2 linked regions of the Drosophila melanogaster genome follow. The protein of the gene in region 1 interacts with the protein of each later gene in a pairwise test. Each region holds a gene or a part of one and is shown in the gene's direction. Other genes may lie near its edges.

What was found.
Region 2: the proteins of Liprin-beta (region 1) and Gbp3 interact in a two-hybrid assay, tested with the Drosophila melanogaster proteins (one large-scale study listed by BioGRID).

The regions. Positions count from the first base shown.
Region 1 is NT_037436.4:13,507,481-13,524,887, forward strand, and holds Liprin-beta (Liprin-beta), read left to right. Parts: upstream 1-5,773; 5' UTR 5,774-5,917; exon of another isoform or gene 5,918-6,001; 5' UTR 6,002-6,111; coding exon 6,112-6,312; intron 6,313-6,377; coding exon 6,378-7,321; intron 7,322-7,382; coding exon 7,383-8,280; 3' UTR 8,281-8,796; downstream 8,797-17,407. Other genes in the region: Spt20, read left to right, coding at 1-1,065, 1,570-1,854, 1,918-2,318; Vps36 (vacuolar protein sorting 36), read right to left, coding at 4,224-4,601, 4,660-5,385, 5,449-5,544; CG10710 (uncharacterized protein), read right to left, coding at 9,049-11,178.
Region 2 is NT_033777.3:22,967,894-22,983,099, forward strand, and holds Gbp3 (Growth-blocking peptide 3), read left to right. Parts: upstream 1-9,376; 5' UTR 9,377-9,414; coding exon 9,415-9,894; 3' UTR 9,895-10,271; downstream 10,272-15,206. Other genes in the region: Nha2 (Na[+]/H[+] hydrogen antiporter 2), read right to left, coding at 13,698-13,952, 14,700-14,801, 15,131-15,206.

The DNA.
Region 1 (17,407 bases):
TGACAAACCCCACCACCAGCTACACAGTGATCTCGTCGGGCAACAGTGCCGCGGCGGCGGCAGCATGGATTCAGAGCCCAACGGGCCCAGTTCAGCAGCGCATTCTGAGCTCCCTGAGAAGAGATAGCACCACAGCGCCGCCCAACGCAATTGTGGTGGGCATGGCCGCTCCTTCTCCAGGTAGCGATTCGAACGCCTCGAATGCCAGTGGCTTTGCTGTGCCAAACAATCTAGCGTCCACTTCAAGTGGTGGTGGCGGCGGTGGTGGAGCCCTGTCCGCCTTGCTGACCAACGCAGCAACTCCCTCGCCATCGGGCTCGGATCACTCGCAGTCGTCGCAGACGCACCAAAACCAAGCCCTGCTGGAGCGCCTAAGCAATGTCACATCAAACGTATCCGCCGTTTCCATGCCGCACATGTCACCGCAACAGCCGCAGCCAACGCAGCAGTTCATCACGAAAACCATCGTTCACTCTCCCGCCACATCTTCGATACACTCGCCCATGTCTAGTCCGCATCCGCAGCCCTCTGCCTCGCCGCAGCAGCAACAACAGCAGCAGCAGCAACAGACCACCGCCACTTTGAATCTGCAGGGCATCAATCTGTCTCAACTGCAGGGCGCTATGGCTAACTTTGCCGGCCTGCAGAATGTCCAGGTGCAGATCCCCGGCTTCACACAGCCCATTTCGCTGCAGTTCTCCGGTAACAGTTTGCAGCAACAACAGTCGGGTAATACGGCTACTGGTGCGGGCACAGCGCAGGGCCAACAGAGAAGTGTCCTGGTCTCGGTTCCAGTCTCCAGCCAACAACAGCAACTGCCACACACCATAACGCTGCAGACTCAGTCGGCGCCGCACCACCAGCAGCAGCATCAGCAGACTCAGCAGCAACATGCCCCACCAACGGGCACCATTGTGAGCCTGCCATCGTCGGGACCTGGCACACAGACGGTCGTCATTACGAATAACTCCGGCGGAGGAGTGACGGCGGGAAGCAGCACCAGTGGCAGTGCGGGCGGCGGTGGAGGATCAGGGGCCACAACGGCCATGCTCACCCTTCCCATTGGTGAGTATAAGAGAAATGCGTTCCTGGTGCAGAGGCCGCTTGCTAAGAATGCTGCACTGTCGTTTCGGCCAGGCCGAAGAGATATTTGTGACTCTGGATCTGGCTTCTTGGTGGGAATCTTTATTTTATAATCGGACCATATTATTTATACGTAACTCTTTTCTTTTAATTGAACATGCTTAATTTTGTTCTTTTCTGTTTCTGTTTCGTTTCTCGTTTACAACATCATACAACACAAACCCGTTAACATCTCGTTTCGATCCCTCATGCAACTAAACTAATCCAATCCGATTTGTGTGTCTTGTGTGTCCTAACCCGAAATGCCATCAGTTTGAGATTAGAGGGTCCATTATGTATAGCCGCAACCGTACTGTACGTACTGGTTTGGCGACCAAGTTGGCGGCTCCCCGACCTCTGACCTTCAACATTTCTCATTGCAACCTAAAACAACAACCAAAAAAAATCTCCCCGCACACCCACGTTCTGCTCTCTCTCTGCTTACAGCTCAAATAGTCGGTGCCGGTGTACAGAAACTAAATCCTCAAACAATACGTACCTCAAATGTTGGTGGTGGTATAGGTATCGCCCAGCAAACGGTCCAGCAGCAGACGATTCAGTCGCAGTCGGGCGGCAACAGCACCGCGGCCATCCAGCTGCTGGGCACCATACAGCCGCGTGCCCGCAACGTCCAGGTGGTGGGCACCAAGCAATTGGCCAACAGGCAGCTCATCACCACCCAGCGGCAGATAGGTGGCTCCACGCTTAAGATCGCCACCACACCCGTGAACGGTTAGTAGAAATCCATTCATTTCTGTCGACTATTACAAGCGCATATGTTTTTCCCACTGTTAGCTGCCAATGTGGTGACCAGCAGCGCCAACCTAACCACCACTCCGATTGTGATGTCCGCACAGAAGCTGCAATTGAAAACGGTGAAGGCGCCCGTGCAACAGCAGCAACAGCCTCAGCAACAGCAACAGCAGCTGCAGCAACAGCACCGAATACTCAACCAGCAGAGCACGGCCACGGTGTCGTCGCAAACACTGCCCAGTCCCAACCAAGTGCAGGTGGCCCAGCAGCAGCAGCAGCAGCAACAGCAGCTGCAGCACATTCAGATCGCCGGTAGGGCCACCACCGCTTCGGGAGCCATCAGTCAAAGGACTCTAACAGCTCTGGCGGCTGCGAAGCAGCAGCAGCAGCAACAACAGGCTGCGGTCAATCGACGGCGCTCCACCACCGATGCGACCAAGTAAGGGATGTGAATTGCCTGGAACTGAGACGACTATTGGGACGACTGAGAGATGAAGCTATAGAGCGAACAAGTAGAAGGCTACGCGTTGTGTATTGCTTGATATTATAGTTTATGGTTACCTCCTAACTATCACTACTATCGTACATTGTATACCCATATAACTATATATGTTTTGATGTGTAATCGTAAGTGTAAATTGCATGGGCAACAGCATGGCAGCTCATAGTTGTGCAACCTAGTTAGGAGCTGGAATTGGAGCCGAAACACAATCGGTCTGGCCCGGCTCCACCGACTGCGCTTGTGTTAATTGTGTACCCCCCCCCCCCCCCCGGCAAAAACGAATTAGGTGTAGAGGTCTTAATAATATTTATCTAGTTGTATATACGCATATATATTACATATATATTATATATATATATGGAAATTGTTTCAATATGTCCCGCGCCCAATGGCCATTTAAACTACTACTATTTGGCTCCCGACTCCAATTCGTTAAGTCCTAAGACTAATTCTTTAAGCGTGCTAATTTTAAGCTGTAAATCAGGGGAGGGGAGGAGTCGACGGTAACAAAAGGAAAGCAATAATATGAGGAGAAAAATCAAGAGAAACGTAAAAATTAATTGTAAAGAAATTCTAATTATTACGATTACGTTTAGCTGCGAGAGCATATGAACCGGGGTAGGGGTTCATTTAAGCAATTACAAATATTCATATTGTACTATTAAAATTATTATTGCTAATTATTTAATCGATTGCTTAGCTTAAGTTCACAAACGAAGATAAAACACACACATTTTAGTTTGTAATGTACAATTCGTAGCCTCAACCAATTTAGTACTTCCAATTGCAGATACATTAAAAACGAAGAGCAAAACAAAATATACAAAAGTCAAAACTTATTTAAACAATTTATTTGTAATAGCTCAATGTACAATGAAACTAGAGACAGGAGCAGCTGAATGAGCTTGGACGATGGAAAAGTTGCCAACTCGAGTCGAGTAATGTGTAAAAGTGTCGCTTTCGACAAAGCATATTTGTTTTTCACCTAAGCCAGTTTTTTTGTAGATGGACATTATTTATTTAAGTAACGATTTTATTATGTTACTACCGCCTAGAGTGCTGTACTTGTTTATCATTGTTTGATTCAGCTGCGCAGCACTTAAAGTAAACCTCTGCATAAACCTCTTCAGCCAGCAAGAAATAAAACACAAATTAACCTCACCACTACCCGTACTCCCTACCGTATCCAACACACACTCAAGCATAAACTACTCAATGTTAATATTAATTAATAAATGTGATTTAAGATGAATAAACGAAAATGAAAGCATGGTACTACGTAAACCGAATGAATGATTGAAAGCATAACGAAGTGGGAAAATGTTACTCAAGCAATTGGCCAAAATCCTGAGTACGAAAGTTATATACATACATGCGCGGTAATGTGGCCTGATCAAATGGTTATTGAAACGTAATTCAAAGATTTATTAATGTAATGCGGAGCAATCTAAGCAGCAGCATAATATATTTATATATATGTAAACACGAAAACCACTATTAATATAAATGTGTAATTTCAATTCAATAACTGCTTATCAAAATACCTGACTGTAGAAACTTTTCATTAAACTGATTACGAATAAAACTCTTGAGAATACTAAACAAAAATGAAAATAATCACGACAAAACCAAAATAACTTAATGAAGCGCCGACAAAGTCAAAGCAGAAGCTCCGTTAATCAATAAAGTGTGAAATGAAATTAAGAACTCAGTCTTGTCATTGCGATGGAACTGAAAATGGTAAGGACCTTTAAAGGATATTCACTTTCTACTCAAAACTCCTGCTTTAAATAAAAAGTCAAATATCTTTATTAACCATAACAACAAGCACACATTCACATTGAAATTAGTCCCGGCCTAGCAGAAGATTTGGATAGAACCGCAGTCCCTCTACGGACTCGTCGCGACACACCTTGCCCAAACGTTCGGCCACTAGCAATCGCTCCTTGGCCAGCAGGAGTGAAATTCCCAGCTGCTTGGCCAGTTCCTCCACAGCCAGAGACTCGGCAGCCTCCACCTTCTCCAATGTGTCAACGGCAATTAGGGCATCATCGTGGGACTCCAGTTGTAGCACTCTAGCGCCACTGGGAAAGCTGCGCAGGCGTATTGGACCACTAAGCTGCTCGCAGGCGTGCAGCAAGTCCTCAGGCGATAGCAGTTCCAGACCACGAGCGCGGTTTACACGACAGTAGACATCAGCCAAGGACATCATGCCACCTTGCTCCTAAGGGGTAATAAAGTAAGTGTCAATACAAAGTATAACTTTTTAATACAGTTCCTACCTCGATAGGATCCAGCAGCATTTCGCAAATCTGTCGGGCCAGGCTACTGAAGTAGGCAGAATTGCTGGTAAAGTTGTCCCGCGTGACGGGATCATCGATGCCCAGGCTCATGAGGTAGGATTTGAAACGCACCGTTTCATCGTCAGATATTTCTCCCTTCTGTTTGCGTATCTTGCTGCTTATTGTCTTGGACACTCCTACCATGTCCTTGGCCATGGCCATTAGAACACTGAGATCCTGAAAGGCAAGTGCTATGTTCTCATCCGTGGCCTTGGCTTTTGCCTCCAAATGCCGTTCGATGCCCCCAATTCCTGTCCTCTTCTGAATGCGGGCCAGCCTGTCGTTGGCAGGCTCCAAGGTTGGACTGCTGGCCACGCCATTGATGATGATCTCGCTGGTCAAGAGGATTTCCCAGACGCGGGCATTTAGAGTCTCCCGCAAGGCACTGTGGAACTCGACACTCAGGCCATTCTTGCCCGACAGTTTGATGTGGGTGGCGCGACTGGTGTCCAGTGGGCCGGGTCCTTTGTCCGACGTTGGAGGATGCAGATGCATGATTATGCGAGTCTTGCGGCCAAAGAAGTTAGAGGCAGTAGTCTCTTCGCTGACGGATATCACATAGCTGAGTGGCAGGCAAAGTGTTACGGCGGCCCGGGCAATCTCTCCAGGGCGACCCCAAAACAGTCGGTGTGTGGTGAGCACCACTTCGCCGTCTTCAAAGTCCGTCTGAAAGGATTTGAGTCTAATAAAGACCCGGTTTCGTATTGTGCGAATTCACTAGCTGCTCACCTTTTGGTCGCCATCGTATATTTTTACCCTGTTGTCGCGGCTGACGAAGGATTCATTGGGACTCAGACGGGCCTCCACATAAGCGAAGCGATTCATTTCAGATATTTGTTATTTTATCCTTAATATTTGTTTTGTTGTGGCTCTGGCTGGAGATGACACATCTTTCGTGACTCCACCGTTCCACCTGCTTATTAGTGATGGTATCTTTTTTGTACAGTAGATATCGGGTATGGAAAACCAAATATAGCTGTACACATCTAGATATATTGCATACTTTGTCCCCAAAAAATGTAATTAAAATGTGTTTAGGCATTTTTATACGTTACTTAAAATTAATTTTGTTTTAAAATTTGTTTTGTAGACTTTAGACCATCTAGCAAACTATCGGATGTTGCTCCTACACACAATTCTGCGTTCGCTGACTATCGATAAGTGGCTGGGCTGGTGTGCGAGAAGAAGAAGCAGAACGGTGCAGCAGCTTCTATTTTCGTGATAGTTTTCCCCAATTAGTGCTGAAATTAATAACCATAAATGCCATTTTCCCCTAAACCAGTGCAAAATGACGTGCCCTGCCTGACCTGCTTACATAACAATGCACTAGTCGCGCAATAAGCACACCACACATCGATCACCCGGGATTAGCGAGACTTTGATTTGGACTTCATGGCGACTGTGGCGGAGGGCAGCAAAATGCTCGAGGCAGCATTACAGCAAATGGACGGCCTTATATCGAGTACCGCGACACAGGCGGGATCCGTTTCTATATCCGGAGCAGGGTCTTCCCTGACACTCAGCGAACGCAACTTAATTTCGGCCACTAATGTTTTGTCAACAGCTAAGACTTTGGCTCTCGCCCTGCAACAGGTGAGTCACACTGACTATGATAAGGTCTAGAAACGGAGGGCTTACACTTACGCTTATCACTTTAGGTCGGACTGGCTGCTCCAGCACCGGATCCTGTCACGGCGGCCATTATCAGCGACTGGCTGGAGACGCACATACCTCGTCAGGATTCCGACGAGCGTATGCGTCGCCTGCAACGGGATAAGGAGGGCTTAGCCCTGCAGTATCAGATGCTGGCGGAACGAGTGTCAGAACAAGCGGACAAGATTATCGAGCTGGAGGGTCTGATAACGGAAAAGAGCCAGCAGTTGTGTACCAAGGAAGAGCAACTGCAACGACAGATGATTTCTAGTTCCGCCCTCGAGACGCAAAAGCTGGAGCTAATGAGTGCCTTAAGTGAACTAAAACTGCACCGTACTGCATTAGAGCAGGCTAACGATGGAGGTAGCGCCATTTCCGCCAATATTCCTTACGGCAGTTTGAGCAACATTAATCAGAAGGCCTTTATGGGATCGCCCAAGACACCGCCCTCTGCACTGCGGCACCAAATCAAACCGCAGTTCCACAGCCTGCCAAGATCGCATGGCAAGTTTGTGAACAACAATAACAATCGTGCCTTAGACGTCAATGCCAACAGCAGCGGCAAGCAGCGAAACGTGGCCTTTGCTTCGAACGAACACATTTTGATTGATGACAATCATCATCAAGCGGAGGATGCAATGACTTCCAGCTTTATGTCGCAGTTTACACCCTCACCAAAGCTGAGGGAAAGATCTGCCCGTGGCTTGCGCAACATACTTGGTAAGCTACGACGCAGCAACAGCAGCAACTGCGAGCTGACCGCCTTGGAGCAGGCAGAGCCCGAGTTTCGACGAGGAGGAGCCCGAGCTACGGCAGGCGGTCGAATTGAGTGGAGTGCTCAGACTCCGTTGTTCGGTGAGAATGAAAAACATTGGACAACCTGGGGAGCGCAGGAGGTGTGCAATTGGTTGGCATACATGGGTCTAGGCTGCTATGAGGACAATTGCCGGTAAGTTTTGTCATCAAAATCCAAGAAGAACCCAGTTACTAAATACAATTTCCGCCTACAGAAAGTGGTTGAATGCCAATCCATCAGTGTCGTTCTTCACCGCCTCGCCTGTCGACATCGAACGAGAGCTAAACCTAAAGATGCCACTTCATCGGAAAAAAATCTTGTTGGCCATCGACGACCTAACTGGGAAGGAGTTTGATGACCTGACACTGAAGGCATCCAGCTTGGATGTGACATGGGTTCTACGCTGGCTGGATGACATCGGCTTGCCACAGTATAAAGATTACTTTATGCAGGCCAAGATTGACGGTCGAATGCTGCATCGTCTCACCCTCGAGGACCTCTCCCAATTGCACGTCAGCTCTTGTTTGCACATAGCCTCCTTGCGAGCGGGAATCTTATGCATGCGCCGCTTATCGTGGAACGCGGAAGGTCTAATTCGACGCTCCATTAAAGTTGTCAGTGAAGATGAAGCCGCAGCCACTCCCGACAGAGACAATGTGGAGCTGTGGACAGCGCATCGCATTATGGGATGGCTGCAGACCATCGACCTGTCTGAATACACGCCCAATCTGCGTGGTGCTGGTGTCCACGGGGCTCTGATGCTTTATGAACCGCGTTTCAATGCTGACTTGCTTGCCGACCTGCTGTCGATACCACCGAGCAAGTCCCTGCTGCGTCGCCACCTGGCCATGCACTTTAAGGAGCTAGTCGGTCGGCCAGTGATCTTGAGTAAGCGAGATGCCGAATCGGCACCCGGGTACCAACCGCTAAGCATTACAGCTAAGCTGAAGCCGGTGAAACGCACACAGTTTTCGTTAAAGCGTCGCAAGAGCTCGAAGAGCCAGAGTGACGTAGACTGGACGGAGTACGTGTGTCCCATGAATGCCAGTGTGCCGGAGACATATCTAGCTGATACGGCTAAGGAGCATGAGAGCTCCATGAGTTCGAACTAAAGACGAAGTCGAAAGGAGCACAAATCGATTGAAAGCAAATATGTTTTTTAGTTGTAAGCCCAAAACCTGGCCAAGGATCCCCAAACTGAATGAACTGCCACCTGAACCAATTATGCAACCAAATCCACAAAATTGACAATATTAGTGAGAATTTATCTTATCAAGGCCACGCCCAAACTTCCAAACATCTTTCGAATGAATTCGAGTCAAAATTCTTTCGTCGACCTAAGCATACCAGCAAACATTTTGGAAATTTTTATATTATCTGTAACTAACATTTAGGCTAATCTGGAAACGGGATGTAATGACATCTTCTAAATAAGCATATAACGATGATAACAAGAAGTATTCGCAATGGCATTGAAACGACCTTGAGAGCGAGCATAACCCCTATAGACTTATCGCCCATTTTGGAGTTTATCTTTTGTACTAACACATAACTGTATTGACGGATATTTTGTAAAATACATACTACGATGCCTTTTACAACCAAACAATATACATTTGCATATGGTTAAACATTGAGTTTATTTGTTAACAATAACATTTTATTAGGCACTAAAAAAACTGATGAACGACTAGGAAGCGTGGCTGAGGATCATTGATCGCGTTGTTGGACAGCCCGCATGGACGGAATCGGCATGGGTTGCTGTTCTCCACCCTCAACTGGCAACCGCAACCGAAGCTGGGCCGGCCATTAGCTGATCTTAAACTTAAATCTTTGGCAGTGCTGTGTGTGGATGTTTCCTGAATGTCCTGGCCGCAGCTCTATGTCGTCTGGTTGGCGGTTTGGGTTTCCAGATTTGGCAGCCTATCCTCCCGCGAGGCATTTTGGTGCTTGGCCAGATCGCTCTCGGGTATGTGATCCTTCCAGTTGCGGAAAAGGTAGCGCGTGAACTTCTTTAGCTGTCTAAATTTGCAATAGGTAGCACCTTCGGCGGATTGAAGCTGCTGGGTTTGGATGAGAAAGCCTTTCTCTTTGAAGGTTTTCTCCAGCTTTTCGCGCTGCTTTGATCGCTTGGAGGATCTTCGCTTACGTTCGCTCTCTGATGAGGACTTACTTTGCGTGTGACCGGGACACACTGCTCCGGGCATGGGACTCTGGGAGCTGGAGCACTGGGAGGCTGGACTATGGGGCGCTACGGCGGCCACCAGATGGTTGCTGCTGGGCAGGAGCAGCGTTGAGGTGGGTGACTCCGGTGATATGTGCAGCAACTCTGGGCTGAGGTCTGTCGATGGAGCTGGAATATCCACGTAGAGCTTCTCCTGTGCCGGCTGCTGGTGTTGCTGCAACTGCTGCTGCTGATCCCGGGAGATGAACTCGTAGCCTCGCATGGTCTTGTCTCCTGTGCCGTTGTAATACCGGTAATTGCCCTCCGCGTCCACCGAGAGCATCTTTTTCTCCTGCAGCGTGGGCTTGGCACCACCGGTGAACTTAAACTTGCAGATGCTCACTTCGTTCGAGGGACTCGACGAATGCTCGGCGGGCATGGGCGGGATAAAGATTGCTGACCGCTTTCGTTTCCGCATGGCCAGGGGCGTGGTCTCATTGGCAAAGAATCCGCTTGGTATCGGAATCTTAAGAGATAGCTGGTTGTCCTTCTCGATGGTCTCCAAGGGCACAGGCAAACCTCCCAGGCTGCAGGACTCGACGAGCTGCTGATAGTACAGTCCAACTGGTTGGAGAAGCAACTTGGCTGCTGTCATAGGCTGTTCCTCCGTCCCTGCCAGCTCCAAGGTCAGAGGTTTTACCGTACTAAGTGGAGTGGTCCGATGCGAGGAGCTGCCGCAATCTGTCGTAGCTGTGGTCGTATTTGGTGTAGTTCGCGGCTTCTCACTGTCGCCGCTGGATATTGAGTAGCGATCGCCGCTCTGGTCACGCAGGCAGAGATTCAGCGGCTCCTCAGGTGGCACCGCAATCGTGGAGGTAGACGGCGGCGGAGCAGCACTGACCGGCATCGCGGGCACAGATGCCGGGACAATGGTGCCGTAGTTCTTGTAGATCAGGTGACAAATATCCGCCTTCTTGGGCTTCCGACCACGACGTGGCTTGTAGTTGTCCAGCGTAATCTCACCCATGTACGGCAGGTCTGCGTATTTTAGGGAGTTCCGCTTGGAGGCAGTTGTTACCTCGGAATTTTTTGTTGGTACCACGGACGTCGCTGCGATGGGTGAAGATCGCGAAGTTGGTGCTCCAACTCGAGGAGCGGCAGACTGCTTTTGTTGCTGGCGTTCGGCATTGCGCTGGATCTCGGCAATCTTCCGCAGCCAACTGCGTACATTCTCGTGAGCCTGACTCGGCGGAGGAGCTGGCGGTGGTAGCACTGGTCTTGGTTGCTGGCGACCCTGCGTGGCCTCGTAATGGGCGGCATACTCGGCGGGCAGAGCTTGGTGGTGAAAGCGAAGCTTCATGGCTCCCGCATCGCCTCGCTTACGTGATCGCTGTTGACCCTGGCTGTGCACTGGCCTAACTGTCTTTTGTGGTAGAGCAGTGTGTGGCTGCTCCTGCGCTGGCTGTCGGTTCGCCTTCCGGCTGCCCATCAGCAGATTGGCCTTCAGCTGCTGCTTGGTCAGTGGACTGCAGGTGCCATTGTGTGGGGTTTCGTGGCCGGCACTTTTGCGGGCCAGTAGCGTCTTGAAGGGATGGTCTTCGTCGTGGGCATCGTTGGTGGCGCCATGCGAGATCAATGGGTCGTCGGAGCCCTGCAGCAGCAGACGGGTGCTGTTCAGATCCAGACGGAGTTGTGGGTGCTCGGGCGTGGGCAGCCAGCACTCCAAGTCGGGATCGTGCTCCAGCTTTATGCTGGGTAGGAGCTGGTCCAGATTGTTGGTAGCCGGACCCAACTCTCCCTTGTCTGCGTTTCCGTTAAGATCGCAGATCCTAGTAAGTTCTTGCATGCTGATCTTGATTTCGGCTAAAAAAAAGTAAGAGAAAGATAGTTTTATTATTATTTATATAATCTTCCAATTTATATGCTTTTAAATTAATATAAAACTTTTCATATTTACATCACTTATTACAAAGACTTGTTTTCATACAGTTTCGAAATTCAAACTAGACAACACATTGCGTATACGAACCATTGACTGGCATAGACGGTAATAAAAGGAAATAGTGTAATGTTCCAAACGCTTACCGGAAAATACTATGGAAAACACATCTAAACTAAGCTGTAATTTTAACCGTAGTAAGTTAAAAGTAAATATGAAATGGTGGTATACGTTGCGTATACGCGATGTGAGAGACACGAAAAACACGTTGTGTTGTTATTTTGATGCTCGCCGGCAGAGGAACACATTCACGGAGACGCAGGAGGAGGAGGAGGGTGCTCAATCTCTGTTTCTCTCTCGATCGGTGGCCAGCACGGGAATTCTATTTAAATGTCCAAGAGGAACTGGCAAGTGGCGCTCTCTCAGGCGAAACACACACAAACGCACAACGATTTTTGCCCCGAAACCGAAATGTTGTTTTTGTGCATGAAATTCGATTCCCTGGGCGAAAAGCATGCCCATAAAAGGTCTAAAGGCCCGGCCTGAATGGATGGCGAAGGGTATTTGCTGTATCCACATACATAGAATAACGATTACTAATCGAGAACTATCATATTTACCTTGCTATTCTATCGTTTGTACGTTTAAGGTGCCCTGGAAAAATGAATATCTTCTGTTCCGGTTCCCTCGCCGGTTCAGTCTTGGCTCAAGCTGTCCTAGTAATGCCGGGTGATTGAGATCACCTTCAAATCGCCACGGTCCACAGTTCACTTCACGCTGCCAGTGGCAGTTGGTCGACGGGAATCGACGCTGTGCGCGTGCACATCGTGTTGACATCCAAAACGCAACTAGTTGCGGGAAAGCCGAGTCGCGGAAAGCATCGCTTCTTCGGAATATGCTCCTTAGATGGACCGCCGCGGAGAGCACGCCCCACACACAATAGAGGGAAATAGGAAAATAGCGCGGACGGTCGGGCAAGTGAAAATCAAATCAAATTCCGCCGCTCTTCGAAGATGCGGAGATGCGTTGTCGCTGCTCGACACCGATGGTTGTCGTGGTCCGTATTTAACGCCAAAGACGAAGCTATTTCGTGTGTGTTCATTTTTAGAAAAATCCAACTTGTTGCCGGCCATATAGAAGACCCCTCACCACTCGGCCAGGTCCACAACGCTACGCAGAATGCGGCAGCCAAAATGAAGCAAGAAATTCTGCCCAAAAAAAAAACGAATTTTATTTTTCGCTGTTTTTCATTCATGGGCTGCCTGTGCGCCAACTTGTTTATTGTATCAACGGATCAGGGTGAAAACAAATTGCTTTCGTTTCAGCTTCTCCCGCAGCCGAGCAGAGGTAGTGGACTAACGAGGGTATCCCCAGTTCGATCAGCAACCCCTTGTTTTTTATAGCTCTCTTTCCTAGCAGCTACGCGTATATGCGCGATCGCATTTTATTTATAGCACCTGGCTACTTCGGGTTAGGGCAACTAAGAATCGCCTGCGCCTCTTTCGGATTATGATTTTTCGGGTAAGGTAGTGAAAGGAAAATAAGTGAAATGAAAAACACCTCCCGAAATAGACAACGGATCGAGGCGGATCCTCTATTTTGGGCAGCGCACATGGCAAAGTAGGTCAACTCCGTTTCTAACTGGAGTGGGTGCACAGAGAGAAATTAGAGTAAGAAATAAAATAATGCTGAGATTGGCATTTCGTGAGAGTAATTAAAATAAAAAAGAAAATCACCCTGATAAAATTAAATTAATTTAATGGAAAAGCAAAGCAAAAAAAATTGTAAAATCTTTTTTTAACACCAAAAACTGGAATATATGTTTAATATTAAGCCTTCAAAAAGTATTGAAAACAAACGTAATTTATAATAAAGTACAGACAATTGTCTCATCACACTCACATTCAAGTTCTAAACATGATTGATGTGAAATGACACGGTATGGTTTTTTATATTAATTATTAAATGGGATTATTACATACAGATAAGTATGACGGCACTGTGGGTGGGTGGTTTGCGTTTGGTTTATTTAAAATAAATTGTTTATGTCATGATTTGCAAACTGAATGCTAGTAACTCAGTGATATTCGGTCATGGTCCGATCACTAATTACTTTCTCCACTGCGCAAAATAAGGGAAGAAAACCGACGAAACTCGGATCATCAGAATGCAAAGCACAATGCACAAGTCACTATCCAAATGCGAATAGACGCCTTAAGGGGCAGCGTTCTTCAAGTTACTCATTTGGCAGTCCCAAGACGATTAGACCCCTTATTGAACAGATCACTCAATCATAATAATAATAATACCTACCCGCTTTTAGCTGGAAAGAATCTTTTCTCGACCGTTTCGCATCGCGTGCAAGATCGAACTTCGCAGAGATCACTGTGCAGTCGATGATGATGACGCTGTACCGCTGGCAGTGGGTGGGCGAGTTTTTCGCGACCTGCAGAAGCTTTACATTCTACAGTTGGTTAGACGGCGGTTAGACGGCAGTCGGCGGTAATTGGCAACCCAGAACCGGAGCTTACATCACCATCAGATCGGCCAGCGGCGGCGGAGTCCAACCTACGGATGCAGAGCGGAGTGGAGCTCTTGAGTATTGCACATCTATTCGGCAGTTGCGAGTCTGCAGCAGCTGCTGCTGGTGTTTTTCCCACTGCTATCTGCTAGCATGTTTATCGAGCGACACTGACAGTCAATATCTGCTTGCGCGAACGAACATATTTGTATTTATGGCCATAACTGCCACTTCAATCGCCCACGCGCGCTTTGTTAACGTGGCTTGAAGCAAGTGAACAACCATGTCATTTGCGAATTCTATAGACCAAGTCTTTTGTCTGGCCTTGCCTCAAGTTCACACGATATCGACAAGTATTCCCCTGGGATTAACTCACTTCACTTGAGTCATAATTTTCGCATGAAAATTTGAATTTCCTATGTTTACTAGCCGCCGACAAAACGCGAGCCAATATGCAAATGCTTGACTTGAATTGGCGAACTGCCGCTCGATTCGCGATTTCCATTCAAATCAGATTCGTTTTCGTTCTGTTGGCCAATTCGGCCAGGTGGCTTATATTTTTTAAGCCAGAATTGCCATATCGCTGGATTCGGAATTCAGAATTAAGAGAGAGAGAGAGAGAAACAATGGGGCTGAATGATATTTTTATGGTAAAAGTTTATTATTTGCAACTTTATTTTTTAGTTTCTTTTTTGTGTTTTTGTTTTCATGTTTAAATGTCTATAAAGTATATATAATATATATTTCTGCATTTTTTGTGGTTTGTGTTTTTTTTGTTAATTTTTTTTTTTAGTTTTTCATAATTTTTTTTTTGCTTTGTTTTGTTTTATTTAACTTGCCAGTTGTTCTTTGTTTATATACCTATTACACATTTGCATAAGTTTTTGTGTATAATAATTATTATTAATAATAATTTAATTGTTGTAATTATAACCATGGTTTATAATCTCCTCCGACTCTCTATATCCAATTTCCTGCTTCGCGTTTACTATATGTCCCCGCCTCCATATCATCAATGCGCTTATGTCGCCCCATCAGCGACGCCCAGTTTTTAATTTTATTTTCAGTTTTATTTTAATTTTTATATTTTTGTGTTTTTTGGCAAACGAAACAAAATGTACACTGCTTGCCCATATTTTGAAACTGGCAATAATTAATTAATACTAGGGTGGTTGATATTTCTGTTATTACGATTTATACCTCCATCTCATTTTATTGTTAGCCTTTCGCCGCACTCTGGATCTAACTAATCTGCCTTTGCTCCTTCCTACTGTTTGGTTATGGTTGGATCAGTGTGCTCCGGATTATGGGAGATCTTAGGTCTTGAAGCAGATTGATCGTAAATGAACCTGTTTGGGTGTCTAGGATGGTGGCGGCATCTTTAATCGATCGGTAGTTATTGTTACTGTAGTATGTACTCATCTATTATTATGCTGGGTTTATTTATGTTGTATCCTGCAGTAAGTCGCATAAATAATGTTTAAAATATACTTCTGTTAATAATGCTTTAAGTATTAAAATATTTATAGTTTTGTCCATAATTAATTAATAGTTTTCTTGTTCGATAGCATTTACTTGTGTTGTGGGCTTTCAACCGATTTCCGCGTGACAATGCATCGCGGAAAAGGCCGATTGAGTATATATAGATATATATCTGTATTGTTTTTTCGGTGTTTACTTTCATCCTTTTGTTTTAATGAACGAATGCACAATTTTACACACTTCGCCATTCTGGTTTCATTATTCATAGATTGTATTTAATGTACACATATGTATAGTATATAGCGTATATTTCTATAAATAGTTATTTGCCTTTTTGTTGCTATTATATAAATGATTTACTTAATTGTTCTTCACTTCTGCTCCACTTTGTTTTTCGATCAACTACTTTTGACTATTACATCATTACATCATCGTCCCCGTTAGTTCGGCATTCTATGTGTGTAAATATAAATTTTGTCATATTTAATATAAGTGAGTATGCATGTAATAGCTGTGTGCATGATTCTGCCCTTATTTCCGCTTCAATTGTGATGAATTTGAAAAAATGTATAAAGTGAGAAATGCTCGATCTGTGTATAAAGTGCATTCGATGTCGTAACTCAATGAATAATACAATGAAATACTATAGAAAAACTCTTGAACTGTTCCGGGCTCACAGGGCCAGTGATCCTGTTTATCCTCTATTTATATTTTATTCTTTTTGATTCTGAAACCATTTTACATTTAACATTTAATTCATGTGTCGTTATTCTTGATTTCGCCTCGTTTGGTTTTGTTTTCACATTCGAACTTGAAATTCCTCTTGACAGATTTTAAAGGAACTGATCACGAATCGTGTTGGGTGTAAAAGCATGCTTTGGATTTGCCCTCTTGGAATCGGTTTTGCTTTGAATTAAATGAAATGAGAATTCATTATCTGCATTTGTCTGTCTTTACATTTATGCTACTAGTATTAGGTGCAAGTTCTCTTAATTTAAAATGACAGTTTTTTAATTTTAATGTTAGGTTTTTATTTTTGTTTTCGTTTGTGTTTCTCATTCACATTTTGCTGCTAATTTCTTATTGTTTTCGTTAAAGGTGCTCTTCAAAAATCTCAAATAATGGATTGTTGTAATCATTGCTAAGTAATTGTATTTGTGTTGGCTTTTTTTTTTTGGGATCGGAAAAGACGGATGTAATTACATACATACATAAATCGGGAGCAATTGCAAATCATTCATAAGTGAGGATAAGTTACCAAAATTAAACCACATGCCGTTTTGCTTAGGTGTGTGTGAGTGTTTGTGTGCTTGCATAATGCTAAATACGGACGGATTTCTAAACGGAAAGTATATAGAGTGTACAAAGAAGCTGTAGCTATAGTACTGCATCTGAGAAATAGTTTCGGAAACGCATCTCAAGCTACACTCAAAAAATTCCCAGTGTTATGTTATGTGTCCTTCGGATGTGTTGATGCTAAAATCTAGACTAGCAACTAATTTTTGTTTTTCAATAATATGCAATAATTCAACCCCTTGGTTCGGGTTTCTGTTTGAGGGGCTTTATACTATATACAATATAAATTCGCTTTGACCATTTGGTTTTATTCGATTAGCCTGCTGCCAACTGCATGAGTTATACATACATATCTCTGCATCTCGTACCTCGATCTAACATTTGGCTAAGTACTAAAAGATAACAGTTTTATCTACAAAAAATAACTTTTGGGCCTTTTCAACGCCAATATCTCCAGCCGTACACCTATGCTTCTTTCATATCATTCCATCCGATTCGGTTTTGTATAATTGCAAAATTGGTTTATAATGCTTGGTTGACCTTAGCTCGCTAATAAATCTTTCTTTGTTCATAGTAATAGTAATAATTGTCATAATAATAGTATTATAATATATCGTCTATATAAGTACGACTAGTTTCTGCATTTAAAAATGTTTAAATTTCTCCTTCTCCTCATTTTATTTCCATATTTTGTTGTTGTTGTATTTTAAATGCACTTTCTGAGCTTTCTTACAAGCGCCGCCAATTATTGTTGCTGTTTTTTGTTATATTCCTATGGCTACTATAGCCTTTCCATTTCCCAACTATGCCCTTGGTTGATGATACTCTAAAGATCTA
Region 2 (15,206 bases), on another chromosome or scaffold:
TAATTAGAATAAAAATTGCATGCGATTTCAGCTGGATGAAATGAAAGATATTCTGTGCGGCGCGTAAAGTACATTCATCAATATTTACCTAGCCCAAATTATTTACCTGCATTCACCGTTGCACAGGACTTACTTTTCAGAGTGAAAGCTTCGATATTCATTACGAACGCTGGCCCTGAAAAACCCTTTTCTCGGCTGACAACTTCCAGGGAAATTTTTAAGTGCAGCAAGCGCAAGAAAGGAAGCTGCACACAAAGTTGAGTGGAAGGCGAAACTATGCCAAATGTGCAAAATGAAAACTTTTAGGCAAACAATGCGAGTGGAAAGCGGAGGTCGGGGGCGGAATGGGTAATGTCAAATGTGGGTTAATATGATTTATGGAAATTTGCCAGCCTCGCATTGGGAAAAAACACTCGACCCACCGCCTTTGTGTGTGTGTTTGGCTGGTTTCCCAGTTGACTGCTTCACCTGGCTTCATATTTAAACCCCTCACACTCCAAGAAAAATCTCTCGAACCACATTTGTCTGCCGGATGGGAGATTTTTACTTTTTGCTCTAATTTGTCAACAGAAACAGTTGACGTTAGACTCAATGCAGCCACCAGCCCGCATAATGCCAGGCATTTTGGTGTCATTGTTAAGAAGCAGTCACACAGTTGAACTCACACTCACACACCCACACATGCACTGACTAATACACACAAAAAGAGAGAGAGAGAGAGAAAGCCATTTGCCAGCCTCGCTGCAATGTCATTGTCATTTTGGCCAGGAGCTGGTGAAAGGTTTTTCATTTGACAAATGCTGATTAAGCGGCCGGCTGGGCTGAAAAATATTTTCTCATGAGTGCTCCCCTCCAAGTTGGCGAACTGGGTGTTGGTTTTGGGTCTGGTTTTTGTGTTCTGTGAGCGGATTGGTTGCAATCCGAGCGAGCAAGTCATGTGTGTGCACTTTAGATGCAATCAAGTCAAGCCACGGGGATCCGGCAGATGTTCCCAATATGTTTTCAACATTATCCAGATTGCCAAGGCTAACGCCGCAGTTCGTCGCTGCCGTGCGACGAGTGTTCGGCGAGATTGAAAAGTCAACATGGCCGAAGGTGACAACAAAGCCAAATAAATGGACATGACACGCATATTTAATACCAGAGACTGCCTAGCTGCACTGAGAAAAAGTTAAGATCAATTTGAATGTAAGAGAATCCAGTTCGTGATGTATATATGGATATCCTTGTTTCAGTATTGGTTATAATCATCAAGTATTTACTTATTGAGCCAACTTTTCTCGCAGTGTACCACCCCCTATTTCAGTCGCGCGTGGCCTATGTCACATTTCGGCTGATAGGATCGACTGAAAAGCCAAGGGGTGGCGAACTGCTGGGCCAGACTGCTTGTTATGATATTTGTGTTGCCTTTTTCTTGATTTTATTGTGTGAATATGTGGCACATTATTCATGATTAGGTTGAGGCCGTTTGCTCGTCGTTTTGTGTGCCCACGATTGTGCGTGTGAGTGTATGGTGTTTACCCACTTTGATTGGCTGACAAGGTGGTGGTGAGCGGGTAAGGCAAGCAGCAGTCCCGAAAGTCCTGCCCCAAGGATGCCTGGCAAGGTGCCCTACCCATTCATCAGAGTGGTAATTAGTCGAACGAGATTCGCTGTCGGGCTGCATCCCGGAGCAGAAAACCGGCGCTAATGAGGCCAATAACTCAATTGCGGCCAAATAAAGTGCCCGAAACGAAGGCCACACAAATCTCGGAAGTTTAAAAGCGTTTACACACCATTTAAATCAAAATTAATGCCACCTGAAACAGGAAGTTCCCCTTTCGAGAAGCCATGCCATCGCATCCACTAGTTGTATTAGCCAGCATCATTTCCTTTTAATGACGGCGCGCTTCGTATAAACTTTTTAATTACAAACTTCAATTACAATTAACGAGCGCAAAGGCTGGGCCAAAAAAAAACAAAACGAAAAAAAAATAGTAGAAAATCTCTACTTATCTTGGTATTGTTTTGTTTTGTCCGAGCCAGCGTTTGCATAATTGGCCCGCCAAGGAGCGAATTCTATGGAACTTCCTTGGCCATCCGTGGATAATTAAGAATAATAATTACCTAACAGGCTGCAGTTTCTACCCGCCTGCTGTCTTGGCCATCATTTATGCGCTGCCGACTCGAACATCTTTGGGCCAAGGATAATGGTAATGCAAATGCAGTGCACAACTAATTGCCAATCGATATCTCACAATTATGTGGTAATCCACTCAAGAGAAGGCATTAAATTTAAATTGAAGCGAAAAGAGAGCAGATCCTGGCTCTAACTTTATGTGTGCCCCCCAAGTTTTCGCCGCTATTTGTTCTGCTCGAGTTGGAAACACATCTCGGCAATTGGACTGCGTTGCCAACTTTGTTTCACTTTCCCACTCGCGGCTTCTAATTTCGCTTTTTTTTTGTTTTGTTTTTTTTTTTGCCCCATCTGCCCCCCATCTGCTGTTGACAAAATAAAAACTTTTCAATTTGACTTCTTGTTTGTCGAAATGCGAAAGTTGTGCATGAATAAGAAAGGACCTGACAGAAATGAAGGTGGATTGGTCATGTGATGGTTCAAGGGAAATTTAAATTTCAGCCCGGATTGAGCAACTCAAATTCAGAAATCATTAAACAAGTGAGCCGTTGTGCCAAAGGTGACTGCGATGTGTCCTAATGGCAGGCAATTCAATTATACTATTGTTCCAGAGTTCCTTTCAGTGCTTTTTGCCTGCCACTCCATTTGCTGCAAACAATTTTCAATTTCCAATTTCCATCTGCAACGTACTCGCTGCGATGTGTCGGCCAGCAACAATATCCAACGGCGGGGCTATTCAATTTCGTCAAACACCAGGCAATAAATTGTCATAACACACACGGGCCCAAGTCCTTTTGTCCTTCAGTCCTCTGGTGTGGCACGGCGGCCCTTCGGCAGCATTCTGTGATTCAAAAGGATATGCGGCGCATATGTGTATGCGAAAGTCAATCAATGCGAGGGCTCCCAAATATAATGGAGCCCTGCATTATCCTTTCCGGCCACCGCTATCGAACAGGCCACAATGTGTGACAGTATCTTTGCATGTCTTACTGACATTTAACATTTGCGTTTCGTGTTTCGTACTCGCTTCGCGGTGAGTCCTGTTTGCAGTTGCAAAATACACCCAACGCTAGATACTCCCAATTTTTATTCGTCCTTTTTTTTTCGGTCCTAGCAAATAGACAATCAGCGCGACGGGCGGTCCAAATTGAAACACAAGCAATGACTGCAGCTCACTACAGTGCAGTGTGTCGTTGTCATACAAGTTTTAGATTGCGTGCACATGTCCCTGGCAACCCATCCGGATAGCAAATTGAAATTTTTTCCACCGATCACAAAACAAAACAGCTCAATAAAAAGTGTCAAATTGGGCAGCCAGCCGACCACCACCCCCACCCGGCCCATCGGCCTCTCAAAGTCAAACTTCAGCAATTGGCTCTTGCTCTCCTCGAATGGCCTCAATGGGCACAAAGCAAATCCATCAATCAGTCCAAAGAGTGTGGCAATCTTTTAACTACTCATTTATGCGACTTAAGTGCACTCGAGTCCTGGCTTTTTATCGGCTGCACTGTTGTGAGCTGCGATTAATTGGCCGAGTTTCGCTTGTCGACGGTGAATGCCGTAACAATAAGTTGCGATACACTGCGATTGGCAGGGAGTAAGTGGTACAATCAGGCAGTACTCTCTGAAAAGGATTAATTCGTGGTATAAAAGTTATGACATGGAACTAGTCTCCAGTAATAGCTCGTATCTGAAATGTGATTATTGAAATTAATTGCATTGTCATGAACTAAAATTCATCTACTGAAATTAATCAAAGGATCAAGTCTATACTAATCGAACTTCAAGTGAAATATTTATAATTATTTTACTTATTCCATTTTCAAAGCAATAAGAGTGTGTTAATTGCTATATTGGGTGAATAGAAGAGTCTAATAAATCAACATTTGACTACCACAAGCATAAAAATAATTATGCTTTAGTAATTAATCGTTTATTCGCTGATAGCTTAGGCATTATCGAAATTAGTTGTGATTTATTGTGTTCAATGTTGTGGGAATAATGTGATGAATGCAAAATGCTGTGAGTACATTAAATATACTGTCTAATAATATACAAAATATGCATTAAATATTATCACCAATAATATTTCTGATTGAAATATGAAAACTGTACCAATTGCACTAACAGTAATAAAACCCATCGCCATTTTCCATATGCGTAATCCTCTTTAAAGAAAATAGTTGGGGCATATAGCCTGGTGTTCTGCGGATCGAGTACAACAATAACTTTGGCAAATACGCAGGCCAGCAGGCAACTTCAGTTGGACCTCCATTGTGCGAGTGTGTGTGTGTGTGTGATTGTTTGCTGGCCAATGGACCGACGTGACGTATACGTAATATTTCATTTCATTTGTACAACGCACATACATACGCTCATACAGCGGGCAGTGCGTGTGTGTGTGTGTATGTTTGCACTGCGCTCACCGTTGGCCTGGCAATGAAGGACACACATACCCATACGCAGAGGGATCCTGCACACTACACTATATGGTTTATACATACATATACGTGTGGAGAAAAGGATGGATAGGGGCTGGAGGAGCGACTTCGGCGACGCGTACACGTGCCTACATCGTTTGCACAAAGGTTCAACACCGTTATTTATTTAATTGCATTCAATTTGCGGTTAATTGTTAAACAATGGCCAACAATGACTGTGCTCAGCCTTTGACTGAGTTCGTTCGTTTTGCATTATGGGCGGCCGAGCGGGCCAGAATGAGGGGGCGTGGCGCCGTGGTAGCTTGGCCAGTTGGCCGAGTGTGTCGAGTGCGCTGAGTGTGTTTGTTATGCAAACAAGTACAAGTGCGGTTTTAATTGAACTCAAGTGAGGCTGAGCTCTGAATGGCCGCTCGATTTTTACATGAATGCGGGCAAGTGTGAAGTGGAGAGAAAGCGAAGAGAAAGTGGGATGAAAACTTGCGTGGCGCGGCCTAATGAGAGGGGTCGGTCCAAATATTTGCACAAATAAAATGTAATTAGCTTTTAAGCCAGCCAACAGGCAGTTTAAACAGTACAGGGCGGCCATAAAGCACACCAATTTGTTTGCGCCAGTCCAAATATCTATGTCCATACATATATATCTGATTTTATGGCCCAGCTGCAGTGACAAATTGCAGGACAAACTGCCTTTGGAAAAAAGTAAAATAAATAACAATCGGCTGCCGGTTCATGGCCATCCAGCCACTGCGAAAGTGCGCTTATTACCATTTACCGCATGGCAGCGAAATTAGCGGGCATAAACCGAAACCATTGTTATCGCACCGCCGCCGCCGACCATCAACATTTGCATGCGAATTGGAAATAGAGTAACTGCGGACTCCATTGGGCCCTAATCGGTCAAGTGTGGGCGGGCGGCGGCAGCGGCAGTTAGCATCCAATTAAAATGCGGCTAAAGTGCATCAATGTAAATACTGCAGATCCTGCGTCCTGCCCACTGCCGTGTGCACATTCAAAATTCAAACAAAAACCATAATCGCTTTGGCAGGGATTACAACACACAGGAACATGCTATGGATCCAGCTTTCGATTGCGATTCCCATTCCGATTTCGATGCACCATGCTCCTGGCCAAAAGCGACCTACTGGCTGAGATTTCCGTAGGGCCGACCGACTGACCATCCAAATCCGTATCGATTCACCCCGCCGCCTCCTGCGGTCGTGTGCAACATGCGAATTATTTTTACGTTTATCGCAAATTCAATTCAATTGCGATAATAATAAAATTTATTCGCAGCAATTTGTTTCTCTGTTTGCTAAGCGAGAATTCAGCAATATAGTGGCTGGCCGACAGCGAATTATAATCATGTGCTTGACTGGCTCGGCTTGGCTAAAATTGAAATTATATAATCACATACACCAGTGGCCATACAAGTATGCACACCGATTCCATCACAAGTATGGCTGCCATTTGAATGGCCAACAAAGGGGCTCTTTATCAAGGGTATAGACAAAAAAAAGCTTCTAGTCTGTGGGCCAATGTCACTAGCACCCAAATATGTCCCATTAAGGGCACCTCAACACGTGTCCTTCTTTTTCAATGGAAGGAACCTTGAAGGCGACCACTTATTGTCGTCAAAAGGACAAAATGACACGTTTTGAAGGCACATACTATTTATTTTATGTACACACACACAGATTTTATTACAGCTACAACTACAACTCATTTTCTAAAATAACGACAATAATTACATTAAATTATTGTGATTAAATGAAGTTGAATTTACATTAACTTATTCTATGTTCAAAATGAACTTTCAAATAATATTTGCAAACTTTTAATCATAGGATACCGGCAAGTCTAAACCTTCATTTTGTGCCACCAATATACTGTGTGTTTATCGTTTTGTGTACCTCTAAGCATCTTTTTTTATGTTTTATGCCGCCCGCTGGCTATTTGTGCGCCAAATGCATTTGTATCGATATGCCGCTCATATAAAATAAATTTAATAGATACTTGTGAAATCGCCAGTGCAAATAGTGCTGCGATGCAGCAGTTCTGTGTTGGGGAAGTTGCAGCACAGTGGAATGCCGCCGCTAAAACAAACATCCGAGTCATCAGCCGGAAATGGGATACACGCTCGGTCCTTGTCTGGCCTTCCTTCCGTACTTGCCAGCTCCTCCTCTGACCTCTCAACCCAGAAACTTGAATCCTGATCCCCAATACCAACAGATTCGCTATGGCAATAAATCCCCCAAGGAAGTGGGTGGCACAATAGCAGAAAAACTCATGAAGTGGCAAAGAGTTGCGATTGTGTAAACAAATATATTAGGAAGAAGTCAGAGGTGTAGATGGAAAGGGGCTCTTAAATTGAAATCATTCGATGAAAATAAAATATAGTTATAGCTTTAAGTATTTCCCAGAAGTAGCTTATGTTTTACTTGTTTTAAAGCAAAACTTTAATTGGGTTTCCTTTTGGCCATGCTGCATGCCACGTAGAGAAACGAATGTTTATAGCACTAATTTTATTTGTTAAACTAACAAAAGCAGCAGCAACGACGACGAGCTGGGCAAATAAATGTGTCTCAGAAACGATTGAGCGCACAGAGACAGTCATATAAACAGAGGGACATAAAACTCATACGACATGTGGGCCGGCAGGCACTTGGCAATGCGTGAGCGTGAGAACATGGCACTTCATTCACGCCCCGGAAATGCCCCACCCACTAGCTACGTACCATCCAGCTCTTTCTCCAGTGTAAAACTCCGTACGGACAGCAGTTGAACCGAAAGCCAAAGACAAAGAGGAGCCGAAACAAAAAGCCCGGTCTACAGTTGCGCCTGCCGAACAATTTATACGACTATTTGAAGTTGGAGGACTGAGTAAATGCTGCCTAAGTGTGCGTAAATCTATAAGGACACCCAGTCGTCCCAGTCGTCAGGACCTACGGAGGAGCTGGAGAACCCATCGAAGGATTTCGGCTGTCTCCATTGTCACCCGGCCACCACTCGTTCTTTCTCCCAACCTCCAAAGTGTTAACACATCGTTGCCATCCCCCCAACATCCCGAACTCGTCACGATTTCGTCCCGTTCTCCAGTTTGTTTTTATGTTGTAAACCATTTTCATTTGTTTTTCGTCGCTCTCCACTCCTTTTGCGTCTTGGGCGATTGAGATATTCCCTTCTGTTTGACTTCAAAATTGATAGTTTTAGCCAGATTATGATCTGTTTATTGTGCAAAGTGCTGTGAACCGGGGATTGGGCGGCAATTAAGTCGCCTTGTGCGGCGAATGTGAATGTAAAATGTGTTTCCGTTGATAGCTGAGATAGAGGCGCCGTTTAGGCGTTGTCCTTCGTGTTTGATCGACTGATAGATAGAGTGGCAATGTCCTTAACTTAATTTACTCCTGAGAAGAAAGACAGGAAGATAGGGAGCCACCTCAAGCAGCGTGAACAACAAGAACTGAACTTATTTCCGGCGGAAGTATCAGTATTCGGCAATTTCCGGCCTGCCCTTGGCTTTCATTCTTTGCTCCCTCGCTACGAAACTTTCGCCGGCAATAAATGTTAATACATATTAAGCGATATCCCATCCAGTCAATGAGTGGACCAAGTTCGAACTTCGGCACGTCCATGCCGAATCAATTTATCGAGTCAAAGTGTAATTAATGCCACTGCGGCAGGACAATCGGCCAGAACTAGACTCAACTACTCGGCGCATCCGTCGAATTGCCGGAATGGCTCAATTGTCAGACTCCATAGCACTTCCATTAGCCGCTGCCTTCATTAGGGCCTGGCCATAATCATCATCATCAATAATCTGGCTCTGAAAACACATCACAAATTAATTTTGACAGCTCTTGCCAGCTATTAATATCAATTATTCAAATAGTTCGGCAACCAGCTGACGAACTTCAAGGCAATGCCCCCCACATTACCAATAAGCTGATTCATTACTGTCCGTTGGTTATGTCATCAGAGTGCTCCTTTTGTTACTTTTTCGCCTATCGAAGATGCAGACGCTTTGTTTTCAATAATGAGCAACATCTGATGCGTTTAAAATGTTGGCCATGTTCTTTGGTAGCCTAGGTTTGCTCTCAAAGACTTGTGGCTCTAGGGCCCAGACGATAGCAATGTTCACAAAAGTATAACATTGCACCAGAAGGCTCTTTGTATATACCATAATATGCCATAAAGGATGCAGAGAAACTAAATGATTTAGAACAGAAAGCAAGACCATACTTGCTGTGGGTTGTGTTTCCTACATTTGTCAAAGAGCATTTCAAACAAACTCTTATCAATTGAATCCACTTAAAGAACAATTTACAAATCACTCGCTTATTGACATTATCATTGAAAATTCGTTTCGATTTTCAATCGTGCTTCCTGCCCCGTTCATTTTCTATGATACCAAAATAGCAGATTGGTTGACCCTCCGCTTTTCACATGGCAGCTCAAAATTATGCGTGCACATGTATGAAATACCGAATTGACTAATATTTATTTATACAATTTTGCGGTTCACAGAATGCAGATAATTCAATTCCAGTGTCAAATTTGCCAAAATGTGCGTGTGGCTGGCTCAGCCCACCGCTCACCTCAAATGCAATTCAATTTGGCGATAAACCAATTTAAAGCCGACCAAAAATGAACGAAAAACTGTATGGAATTAAATGTACACATACTCACACTCGCATATTCCACTGTGTGTGTGTGTGTGTGTGGATGCGGGTAGTCTGTTTATCTCTCAGTCGCGGCTTCGGGGTCAGAGGTTATCGAGTGGCGACCGTCGACCGAAGCTTTGGAAACCGTGCAAACTGTTGGTAGTCGAACGTCTATCGCAGTGCCAACAAGTCGGCGATGAAGCGGTTTCTTGTGGCCTTATTGGCCGCTCTGCTGGTAGCCGCCGTCCAGGGCGGAATTCTGGGCAGAATTTTCCACAGGGAGTCCACCTCCACAACAACCAGCACAACTACGACGACCACAGAGGAGCCCCGCCGACCCTTCTACATCAACAACAATATTCCCGAAATCCCGAAGGACTGTGTGGCGCAGTTCAAGTGCAAAAAGAAGCTGGCGAATGTTCAGGCTCCAAAACCGTGTGTGAAATACTGCCTGCACAGGATCACCTGTCCCAATAACCAGACCAGTCCCGTTCAGCCCAACCAGTGTGTCGATCTCGACGAGCAACAGGTGCTGGCCGTCCACGAGGCAAACACGGAGCCTCCGGTCGCCGGCCAAACCACCACCGAGAAGACCATGATGGTGGCCATGATCGACTTCCCCTGCCAGCCCGGCTATCTGCCCGACCATCGTGGTCGCTGTCGGGAAATCTGGTGATTCGATGGCTTCGTGACACGTGTTTACTGCATAATTATACCTGTGGAATTTTCGTTTTTATATACATGCCTGCTCCCAATAATCACAATAAAACCCAAACGAACGGCTTTTGCCCAAAGATCGAACACAGTGAACAATTTGATAAGTGTTTCGGGTGTAAATACCACCAATCTGCCAGTCACAACAAATGGCTGCGGTTTGTGACTAGTGATTGTGTTATCAGTGAGTTGAAAACATTTCAAATCAAACTGGTATTTTCATATATACTAGTGAAAAAAGTGTGGACTCAAAACAATGCACTCGCTGTTGGCAAGAATAAAAAGAGTTTTGGCCATTTTTAAAATAATAAATAAATAGATAAATAATTAACAACTTACATGCCCTAACTCTATTTCGTTTGCTGTTTAGACCAGCTGCTTATAACCTCTAGAAATAAATTAAAATTTCTTTAATTGTTTTTTGAACATATTTTTGTAAGTGCATTCTCCGCCGTGAGTGGTCACTGTTCGGGAATAATACTTTTGCTGTCCCGACACGCCAAGTGTCAAACACACCTCCTTTGGTTGGTTGGGAATCGGTGGACTCAGACATGAGTGGCGGAATTAGGGACTGAATGAAGTGGGGGTGGGGGGGCTTACCTCCAAATGGGCGGGGCACTGGGCGGAGTCGTGGCAGTCAACAATTTTGTCTAATTACAACGGGAGAAACGAGCAGCCAGCGACAAGCCATAAAAAATATGCCATTTGCACGAAAATAACTGTGATGTGCTGTGACCTGTAGCCCCCGCCATTGATAGCCTCCAGCAAACAGGATAAGGAGGACGAGGTCCTGGATTGAAGGAGGAGTTGCCGAAAAAGCCAAAGCCACAGATATAGCTAACAAATGGCTTAATTCCAGCCAGCAGCTTGAATGCTCGGAATGCCGAGCGATAAAAAGTACATGTATTAAAATTAACAAAACAACAAGACGCAGACAAGAGACGCCTTCTTTTTTGGCCCATTTGGATGGGTGAAGGTGGTGGATTTGTGTAGGTTTTGAAGCCTACTTCCATCACGTGATTGACGCACATTTCGAGCCCAGAGAATACAACTGCTAATTCGACGCACCCAACTATGGGGATCAAGGAGGAGGATTTGGAATGGGGCTGGTGGAAATTTTATGTGTCTTCGTCATGTTAATTGTTTTCCTTTGTTCGTGGGCATTGTGGACTGCTTTTTGCCGCCACAACCATTGCTTTAGCTTTAGCTTTTGCTTTGTTGTAAGCCATAATTTGCGCGCTTATAACTCAAAAGTTTCGCCGTCAAGCCAAACGCAACTAACTTTATTAACTGAAGGAGCGCGCGCCTTAGCCAGGTTTTGACTTCATTTGTGCCCCATTCTTTTTGTTTTCTTGATTTCCGTTTCCGAGCGTCGGTTTAGCAGGAGGACGCAACTTTCTTTGGCTTGTTTTTATGGTAATCGGCGCATAACAAAAACCACACCACCACCACAACAACGCACCACACCGCCCCACCCACCTGTGTGTCTTGGTGGTACGGTTGGCGGTGGCATGGTATTTGGAAATTAAACTGCGCATAGTCCTTAAAATTTTATAACTTAATTTCTCTTGGTCTGGCATTTTTGTGAACTTTTTGATTTGATTTCGTTTGGCACTCGCACAACTCCTTTTTCGCCATATCGGTTGGCTGTCTGTGGGTGGTTGGTTTGGATTGGATTGGCTTGGTTTGGATTTGGGTGGCTTTTCAGGTGGCTTTCTGGGTGGGTAAGGCAGTGACGTGCCTGGCGTTCTTTTCCAGCCCGGAATTCGGCATGCGAATTAGAATAATAAACTGTTGGAATTTATTTGGCGCAGGAAAATGCTTTGGCTGCGCTGATAAGGTTGATCTATGGCCGGTGGCATTTCAATGGCCGCGATAAGAGCAATGAGTTTTGAAGGATTATGCCGGTGGCAGCATAATTGATGTGATGCGAACATAACTCAATTGTGGCGTAATTGCGGCCCTCGAATCTGGCTTTTCCGCCAGTTACGCACTCCATTATTTGTATAGCCCTTAGCCGGCCAACCGATGCTCTATCCCACTGGCATTTTACCCTAGTTATACAAACGTAAAAATGCCAGCTTTTGCAGCTGCTTTCATTATGCTAATTGCACGGACATCAACTGCGGAAACAATGCAACTAATAACAGAAAGCAGGGGCAATCGGTGCAGCAAAAGAGCGGAAAAGCGAACAGGTATATACATAGGTACACAGGTTGGCAGGTACGGAGGTGAACTAGGGAAGAAACCAAAGAATTTTCATTAAAATTTTCATTTAGTTGCGCAATTATTTTTGTGCAGCCATTTTAATAACACTAATTTACCTTCAATTCCCAACTCTTTTTCGAGTCACACAAAGGCCACCGATGATGAAAGAGATGGTGAATCGCATGGTGAATGCGAATGCGAAAGAGACGGGGACATACGGTTATAAATATGCGCAGCTGCAGGATAATAAAAATGATAAGTTTTTCTCTCTCTCTCTTTCACTTTCTGTCGTTTTTGCCGTCTTTTAATTTCATTCCTTTCAGCATTCACTCAACCGGCCACAGCTGAAGCTCAGCTATTACACTGGGAAAAATGTAGATACTTCTTTAAATTTATATAATTTATACCATTGAGACTCAACTACAATTGTGTCATGGAATATGCTATCCGAGAATCATATCCTTTGAGAGAATATTTGTTTGATCGGTTTTAGAAGCATAGTTGGTTCGATAAATTCCAAAAAATATTCTACATTTCCCTCACTGCTTCGATTCGAAATTGGTCACAATTTGGGGAAAAAAATTTTCTCTTTTTTCCCGGTACCATCGGTTGTCATGCGACCGCAGCAGCAGCAACTAGAACCAAAAGCTTCAAAGGCGGCCAGAACATCAAGTTCATTCTAAGCCGTTTGCATTGCAAATTCTGCATCGCCTGGCGAAAAAGGGGGACAACTCGATGCTGGTTGGCCCCACAATCACTTTTCAATTAAATGGCATTCTTTCCTCTTTGCCATTATTTTGTGTTTTTTTTTTGCTTTAGCCATGGCTCTAGCTTTTTCAACCAGCTCGGAGCCAAATGATTCTGCCACAAAAGCAAAAGGCGTTAAAATGCGTTAAGGGGTGAAAAAGGGGAAAAAGGGGACAACTCTGCTTTGAAAATAACGATATCAATTTGGGTCCATTTATTTACTTGACCAACTCGACGAGTGAACGCCTTAATCGGCCTCTATTCGCATTAACATTCTGTTCAATTGTCAATCATTAATACGGATTGTCATCGACATGTCACAAAAACTCGCAACAGATTGACACGAAGTACCATTTAAATCCACCCAAATTAATTATAAAACCAATTAGCAAGGGCTCGGTGCTCGGGATTAACACAGATCCTGTCATAATTAGGTGCCGAAAAGCTTTTCTTATTTGCAGCGACAGGAAAAACAATAAAATCCCAGTCGGCCAAGTTGCCCATTTGGGGGCATTAGTCCTGCGGGATTAGGGCCAAACTTTGTTAATTCGCCGAAATTTAAGGGCCCGGCCCCGTACAAGTAAGCAAATAACTGGGAATTTCCGAACCATAAAAAAAGGTGCGCTTCGCATCGAATTGGGAATGAATTGAAAAAAATTTGAAACCTTCGAGCAAAATATGTTGCTAACTTTTCGCATTTACTTTTATTTGAACAGCGTAATACCTAAGTACACGTAAGTATAAGTACGAATGAAATGGCTACATAAGTACGGCATGGATTAAAAGTTTCGGCTCCAGATCAACCTGAAGCTATGTCCCCTTCGAGGAATTGGTGCTGCCCAGCGTGGGGGCGATGGGCGTGGTTGGAGAGTCAACCGCCTCCACTGCATCTCCATGTTTGAGCCAATATGGCGCCAACCGCAGCATGAGAATGGCGCCCAGCGGGGCGGTGAATATAATCGCCAGCACCGAGATGATGAGCAAATTCCCGGCCAGCGCAAGCTGTTCCGGACTGGCCACGCTGGCAGCACGTGCCATGTCCAAAGCCACTGGACCCAAGGCGGCCTAAGGGGAAAAGAGAGACAGAGAGAGAGGGTTAGCTGGGGCTCATATTAAGCAGCGGCCACCGCTGCGTATGAGTGATATGTGATTTGCAGCGGGGTCAGATTAAATGCAGTTTGCTGTGCAATTTTAATTAAATCAGTACGAAAAAGGTGGACACTGAAATATGCACCGCATATTAGGGCAAAGTTAGACGGACGCACACATGTGACCGCCGTCCTGGTTTTTTTTTTTGGTTGTCTTCCTCTGGATTTTTTGGACGAAGTAAGTAAGCCAGCGTAACATTTAAATTTCTGTAAACCACAGACGCACACTCGCCTGCTCAGGCGACATAAACAAAATGTTCGCTTGCGGTTAAACTGCAAACAAAAGGCTGGCATGCCAACTGCAGCCGCAGGAGCAGGAGCATGAGCAGGTCCTGCGATGACTCTGACTCTGACTCTGTCTCTGGCCAAGAGAACATGACCTGCAAATACGTGTATAACTTAAGCATGGGGAAAACACCAGGCCAGAACAACCAGAGCGGCCAGGACGACCAGGACAAGCAGGACAACCAGGACGATGGTCAGTCTGCTCGTGGCAAGCGAGTGAAATGGCCGGCAATGAAATAAAAAGCGCCACCAGGCCGGGAGACAACGAATGGAAAATGGGAAATGAAAACGGGCTGGTAGGGTAAAAGGGGACTCGGATTGGGAATGGGGAATGGGAATGGGAACCGCAGCAACATGACACGCGGAACGGGAAACTTACTTGGACAGTTGCTTTGGGAAAACCGGAAATTGTAATGTAGGCACGTTCCTTTCTCGACAGATTTCCGCCATATGTGGATAAATATGCAAAAGCCAGGCGAAACTGAAAACAAGAACAAGAAAGTGGTCATCTCTAGATGTTTTTCTCCCTCCGTTTCTTTTTTTTTGCATTTTCTGTGTGCTTGCAGGTAACATTTGCATTGCGGTCCCGGAACATTTTCATTTCAGTTCACCCACCACACCCAACCGGAATCTCCACTTGGTCGCCATTCCGACCAGAATGGATATGAATGGATGGGGTGCCCAACACCGCGGGGACCGTGCAGTATTCCCCGCACCAACTGGTCGGAGGGCCAGAAAGAAATTAAATAAGTGGCCGGAGCAAGCATTTGTTGCACCACCAGCCACGCCTCCAGCGACCATTTTAATTACCAAACTTCCGACGAGCACCAACAATGCGCCATAACCGATTACATGGCCCTGCAGCACGTTGAAATTAATTTCCTTG